2 linked regions of the Canis lupus familiaris genome follow. The protein of the gene in region 1 binds, or shares a complex with, the protein of each later gene. Links are inferred from orthologs where the notes say so. Each region holds a gene or a part of one and is shown in the gene's direction. Other genes may lie near its edges. The genes, in order: ESPL1 and PTTG1.

Region 1 (3,686 bases):
AGGGGAAGGGGAGTAGAGGGAGAGAGAGCATCTTAATTAAGTAGAGCCCGATGTGGGGCTCCGTCTCAAGACCCTGAGATCAGATTGACGTGAGCCAAAACCAAGAGTCAGATGCTTAACCAGCTGCACCACCCAGGCGCCCCGGGAGAGAGAGGGAATCTCAAGCAGGCTCCACACCCAGAGCAGAGCCCAACCCAGGGAGATCCTGAGATCATGACCTGAGCCGAAATCAAGAGTCAGATGCTTAACCGACTGAGCCACCCAGGTGCTCCTCTAGGTTCTTACCTTTTTAACTGGCGGAAAATAACACAAGACAAATACACACGTTAGAAACCCCATTTCCAGGGGATCCCTGGGTGGCGCAGCGGTTTGGCGCCTGCCTTTGGCCCAGGGTGTGATCCTGGAGACCCGGGATCGAATCCCACGTCGGGCTCCCGGTGCATGGAGCCTGCTTCTCCCTCTGCCTGTGTCTCTGCCTCTCTCTCTGTGTGTGACATAAATAAATAAATAAAAAGAAGCTGAAAAAAGAAACCCCATTTCCTCATATCCAAAATGTTGGCGTCCGGGGGGCCAAGAGACTCCACTCCTCTGACTGGAGGATCTGTTCTTCCTCATTCAGGCTCTCATCACTTCCCTGGAGAAGCATGTGTTGGGCTGCTGGAGGGGACTGTTGCTACCATCCAGTGACGACCCTGGCCCTGCACAGGAGGCCTCCCGCCTACAAGAGTTGCTGCAGGAATGCGGCTGGAAATATCCTGACCCAACTCTGCTGAAAGTGAGTGGAGACATCAGGGAAGGGGATGGAGCTCAAATGAATTCTTGCCCACGTGCCATCGTAACTGGAGGTGGGAGCCGTTGCGCTCACTGACCACGTTCCCCTGCAGATCATGCTCCATAGTGCCAGAACCCTTGCTCCCGAGGACATTCAGACCCTGGCCTATGGGCTGTGCCCAGCCCAGCCAGAACGAGCCCAGGAGCTTCTGAGTGAGGCCGTAGGACGTCTGCAGGGTCAGACGGTACCAAGCAACAGGCACCTTGTCTTAGTGCTAGACAAGGTAAGGAGCTAGGGCTGGAGGGGTGGTGTCTGGTGGGCGGTGGGTACCGACTCCCCCCTCATGCCCCTCTGGACGCTTGTGCATCCTGGCTAGGGAGAGTAATCCGTGTGTGCTTTCTGCCCAGGACCTGCAAAAGCTGCCATGGGAGAGCATGCCCAGCCTCCGGGCGCTGTCCGTCACTCGGCTGCCCTCCTTCCGCTTCCTACTCAGTTACTCCATCATCAAAGAGGTGGGGTTCAGGGGGTGAGGAATGACTGATCGAGGGAGGTCTTGGGAGACAGGAATGGGTCTTAGGGACCGGTGGCTCATTCGTGAAAGGGCTTTGGAGTTTGCTGAAGGTTGAGCCAGACCAGGGTCCTGACCACCAGTGTCTTCTCCTCAGTCTGGGGCCTCGTCAGTGCTAAGCCAAGGGGTGGATCCACGCAATACCTTCTATGTCCTGAACCCTCACAATAACCTGTCCAGCACAGAGGAGCAATTTCGAGCCAATTTTAGCAGGTCAGTGGGATAAGAGTAAGAGAGGGGCTGGGGGCGGGTAGAGACAACGTAGAGGGGCAGTATGCCCTTTTCGCCTCCGGAATCACGTATTGCAGCCCACCTTCTCCTGGTATTCCCTCTGCTGACTCCATTTCTTTTCTTTTTTTTTGTTTTTTTTTTTAAAAAAAAAAACCAAAAAAAAAACAAGGTCTGGCCAGTTTTATTAAAGAAAAATTTTTGCGTGATTTACTTTCCACCCGTCTGTTCTGGCATGCTTCTAATGATATCAGAATCACCTGGATCCATGATAGCCAGTGTGCATACTCTGTAGCATTTCCCACACGCTGTGCCCAATTCAGTATTACTGCCACTGTAGTGATGGACACCAGTTTTGGCCAACATGGCGTAGTATTCTATTTCAGATTTCCTCAAAGCCGGGCAGTTGTCGGCCAGGATGACCAGTTTCGCTTTGCCGTGTCTGATCATTTTCAGGGTCTGCTTGTACCCCAGCACGTACTTTCCACTTTTCATAACCGGTTGGAGCCTAGAGTTGATCGACTCCAGCGACTTTTTTGTCTTCTTTGCGGCCACCATCTTCCTGCCTTAGATGCGGGACGACCCCAACCAACAGCAGCCGCCAAAATGGCCCGCTGACCCCAATTCTAATCCCTACCTTTTCTCTGCAGTGAAGCTGGCTGGAAAGGTGTGGTTGGGGAAAGGCCAAGCCCAGAACAAATACAGGCGGCCTTGACGGAGCACGACTTATATATGTGAGTGCTTAAGGCAGGGACGGGAGCGGGGGTATCACCGTGGCCTGCTATGGGGCCTTAAAGGACGCCCCTGAAGACATGGCCGAGGCCGGGTACTGCTGGGTCAGACTCATCTCCCGTCCCTCTGCCTTAGCTACGCAGGGCACGGGGCTGGGGCCCGCTTCCTGGACGGACAGGCCGTCCTCCGGCTGAGCTGCCGGGCGGTGGCCCTGCTGTTCGGCTGCAGCAGCGCGGCCCTGGCTGTCCACGGGAGCCTGGAGGGAGCTGGCATTGTGCTCAAGTACATCATGGCCGGCTGGTGAGTCTTGAGGGCCCAGCCCAGGTTCCTTCCCCGGCCTGAACCCTAATGCCCCACTCTCCTCGCGTTCTAGTTCTCTGACATGTGGGGGCCTCAAGCCTTTGCCCTCCTCTACCCTCCTGGAACTGTGGACCAGGCACTTCCCACTGGCTCACTCCGCTTTCCTCACCCACCATCAGCAGTCGCGTTTGCCCGCGTGTTACGGCCCTCACTTTGCAGCTCTTCCTTGTCTTTTCCCAGTCCCCTGTTTCTGGGTAATCTCTGGGATGTGACTGACCGAGACATTGACCGCTACACGGAGGCTCTGCTGCAGGGCTGGCTGCGGGCAGGCCCAGGAGCCCCGCTTCTGTACTACGTCAACCAGGCCCGCCAGGCTCCCCGACTCAAGCATCTTATTGGGGCTGCACCTGTGGCGTACGGCTTGCCCGTCTGCCTGCGGTGACCCCCTGGAGCTGCCCCAGCGCCCTCAGGAGCCACGTGACAGTTCCACATCCTCTTAGATATTTTAAGTGATTTTTCTGTGTTTTATATGAAACATTTCCCTTTGACTTAACCTTAATATAATAAAGTTGTAATACTTCAACCCTGTTCCGTGGGGTTCATCCCACTGCGTGGCGGAAGGGGTGAGAACCTTGCAGGAGTTCAAGTCTGAGACTGTGGGGAAGAGGCGAAAGCACAGGGCGAAACTGGCCCGGCTTGGCGCCGCGGACAAAGCTGAAGGAGAACAGGATCAAAACGCTCAGTGGAGGGATCCCTGGGTGGCGCAGCGGTTTGGCGCCTGCCTTTGGCCCAGGGCGCGATCCTGGAGCCCGATGGGGGATCGAATCCCACGTCGGGCTCCCGGTGCATGGAGCCTGCTTCTCCCTCTGCCTGTGTCTCTGCCTCTCTCTCTCTCTCTGTGTGACTATCATAAATAAATTTTAAAAAAAATTATTTAAAAAAAAAACGCTCAGTGGGGACAAAGCCTCCAGGGAGTGGGAGAGTACCCAGCGCCGGCGGTCCGGCTCCGTGCCTTCAGCTATCCTGGGAGCGCCGGGAGCTTTTTTTTTTAATTTTTATTTATTTTTACTCATGACAGACGCACAG
Region 2 (2,954 bases), on another chromosome or scaffold:
TTCCTACCACACTAAAATTCAACAAGTGGCAGTTTCCAAATGTATGGTTGTGATGTGTAATCTGAAACCCTATCAGTGAACATTTTATACTGACCATAAAATCCACTGGGCTCTTCTGCAGTTTGAAAATCTTTTATTTTTGCATTTATCACACATTGATCATTTAGAAATAATGATTCACTGGGAAATGTAGATTATCCAAATGTTGAAGGGTTTCATGATGCAATATCAAACACACATTCATTAATGTCACCACTGATCTCTTCAGAAAAATATTAGGAAATTGACAAGCTAATAAGTTTTCCAAAGTTCTAGTGTTTTTTTCCCCTTGAGATTGTGTATATTATCATTGGCAATAAATACTGTTTCTTTAAATGATAGACTTCTTTTATTTTTCTGAGAAAATGTGTTACAAATACCCAAGTCTGAGTAACCAGTTTGTCTTTCTGTTATTTCAACTAAATAGTATTACAGGAAAAAGGCCGCTAGTTTAGCTTGCAAACCAAATAATTGTACAGATCTTTTTTCTTTGACCTCACCTGGTACTTCGGTATGCAACAGAAGTACTTTATGGTCATCATACAGAATACTAAAAAGACATGTTCTTCAGGGTTGAGAGCTAATAAAATTAATACTTTTTATTGTAGATGATAAAGTGATATGTGAAGCTGGCAATTTTTTACTGCAAGTGAATGGTTTTGAGGAATATAGTGACTATAAAATATAGTTTATTGCCACTTCTTGATTTGTGCTAAAGCACAGCAATTCCATCCATCATTGCTTTTGTCCCATCATTGAAAGTGTCAACACAGCAGAAGGTGTTGAAGTTATTAAGAACATAGTTTGACCTCCTGGGCCCACTGTAAGGGTCTCAGATCCCCGTGGGGCTACTGACCACTCTCAGAAGCATTGCCCTGATAAATTGCTTTGTCTTGATGGCAGATTTTGAGAGTTTTGACCTGCCTGAAGAGCACCAGATTGCACACCTCCCCTTGAATGGAGTGCCTCTCATGATCCTTGATGAGGAGAGGGAACTTGAAAAGCTGTTGCACCTGGGCCCCCCTTCACCCCTGAAGATGCCTTCTCTATCCTGGGAGTCTGGTAAGTGAGCAAGTGCCCTTTTAGTAGGGCTGTGAATTATTTGTGTTTTGATACTGCCGTTATTGTGGGGGCAGAATTGTATGGAAGGTTAGCCTACAAGTGATTTCTATTTCTAACTAAAGAGATAAGGTTTCAGAGTAATGAAACCTCTCATTTGGTAGTTTTTCAGTCCCAAGTGCTCAGGTAAAATTAAATCATTCTGGAATCTGGACAGTTCTGTTTATACTTTATTTTTAAAGATTTTATTTATTCTTGAGCAACACAGAGAAAGAGGCAGAGACCTAGGCAGAGGGAGAAGAAGGCTCGATCCCAGGACTCCAGGATCACGACCTGAGCCAAAGGCAGATGCTCAACCACTGAGCCACCCAGGTGCCCCTACGCAGTTTTAGATACAGAAAATAATATTAAATTTAGCATAAAGCTTCTTGGGTTATAACTTGAGGTATAGTAAACTTGTTTGGAATGAGATTTCCAAGTTCTATCCACGGCTAATCTAGGTTCAGGACACTTGAGCGCAATAGCACAGAATTGGCAAAACCTTCTTACTGCCAAGGTTTGAGGCCTGTACTCTATTCAAGCTGGTGGTCAAAAGCTATCATCAGTATGTTTTCTATTTGTTCTGATGGGATAACAAATGCTTCCATAAATTACATTAGTGATATTGTTGGCTCCTACGTGGGTCTCTAAGAACAATAGTTTCAGGTATGTCTTAAGGTTATTTCCTAATGAAGGTGAGTTCTGGTATCTTAGCCACATTTCAAGAAGTAAGTGTGTGTCTGTGTGTGTGTGTGTGTGTGTGTGTGTGTGTGTGTTTAGCTGGGGGTGGGGTAGGGATTCATTAGACAAAGGGGAAAATAAGAATTTATGAGTAAAACTGACAACCAATGTCTGTGTTGAGATGGACTAAAGCGTTTGCAGATATTGAGTAAGAAATTCCTGTCTTCTAGATCTGTTGCAGTCTCCCAGCGTTCTGTCGACCTTGGATGTTGAATTGCCACCTGTTTGCTATGACTTAGATGTTTGAATTTCTTAGCACTTAATAGTTTGTGTATTTTGTATTAATAAAGCAATTCTTTAACAGACCTTTCCTAATATTGCGGTTGGTATTCTTTGGCATTTGCTTAAAACGGTATGAAAATCATTGTTAAGTGTTTGACAGGGGTCTATAATCTGACAATACAAGTATATTAGATTTGAAAAACTCACCTTAGAACCCTTTGGTTTGTCTTTAACAGCTTATTTTAGACACTGCCACTGTTTTCCCTGAAACTTACGCTCCTAAATGTGTACTCTGCTGCCTTTCTGTGGCCATTAACTAGTGACAGTTATTAGATCTCTTAATTAGAAGAGCCACTTCAGCTCATTAAATATCTATTGCTAAGCATTCTTTATTGCTGGTTCTATTTGGTTTCTAATGACTTTAATACTCACTATTCAGTAATCAGAATTTGAAAGGCTCTAAATCTTCCAAGAACTCTATGTCCCTGGGATCTTCAATTAGGTTCTTCAAAGATTGCAGCAGATAATTTACAGATAGTGATGATATACACTCTTCACCTATAGGAAACACTATTTAGTTACTTACACTGTATTTGGACTGGTTTTAAGTATTGTTATTGTGTTTCATGTTTATGACCCTATTTTTCAGGAGAGGACAGTGAAGCTCAGAAATTCATTGATATGCAAAGACATGAAGTGCTCTTACCTCGATTCCAAATCTGGGATTATAATCAAAATATCAGAGACTGTAAATGTTTGCTCATGGATTTTATTTTTTGGAGGAATGGGGTGGAGGATATAAAAAAAAAAAAAGTTATTGCCACCATTTGAAATCCCAAAGTTTCATAGGCCTG

Evidence for each region.
Region 2: the proteins of ESPL1 (region 1) and PTTG1 are in contact, whole or in part, in a cryo-EM structure (PDB 7NJ1), measured with the Homo sapiens proteins. The link is inferred for Canis lupus familiaris from reciprocal best matches to the Homo sapiens genes ESPL1 and PTTG1. Residues at the interface, in NP_036423.4 of Homo sapiens: His402, Thr405, Val406, Tyr409, Ser461, Asn462, Tyr465, Tyr468, Arg505, Arg508, Glu512, Glu544, Thr547, Phe548, Arg551, Gln590, Lys593, Ala594, Val595, Arg596, Thr599, Gly600, Arg603, Gln634, Cys637, Tyr638, Trp683, Ile686, Glu690, Ile697; in NP_001269311.1 of Homo sapiens: Tyr111, Pro112, Glu113, Ile114, Glu115, Lys116, Phe117, Phe118, Pro119, Phe120, Asn121, Pro122, Leu123, Phe125, Glu126, Ser127, Phe128, Asp129, Leu130, Pro131, Glu132, Glu133, His134, Gln135, Ile136, Ala137, His138, Leu139, Pro140, Leu141.

What each region holds. Positions count from the first base shown.
Region 1 is NC_049248.1:44,735,623-44,739,308, forward strand, and holds the end of ESPL1 (separin), read left to right. Parts: intron 1-619; coding exon 620-775; intron 776-884; coding exon 885-1,055; intron 1,056-1,179; coding exon 1,180-1,284; intron 1,285-1,437; coding exon 1,438-1,553; intron 1,554-2,218; coding exon 2,219-2,302; intron 2,303-2,435; coding exon 2,436-2,600; intron 2,601-2,840; coding exon 2,841-3,042; 3' UTR 3,043-3,183; downstream 3,184-3,686. UniProt on the Homo sapiens protein: Caspase-like protease, which plays a central role in the chromosome segregation by cleaving the SCC1/RAD21 subunit of the cohesin complex at the onset of anaphase. During most of the cell cycle, it is inactivated by different mechanisms.
Region 2 is NC_049225.1:51,189,071-51,192,024, reverse strand, and holds the end of PTTG1 (securin), read left to right. Parts: intron 1-942; coding exon 943-1,101; intron 1,102-2,048; coding exon 2,049-2,125; 3' UTR 2,126-2,193; downstream 2,194-2,954. UniProt on the Homo sapiens protein: Regulatory protein, which plays a central role in chromosome stability, in the p53/TP53 pathway, and DNA repair. Probably acts by blocking the action of key proteins.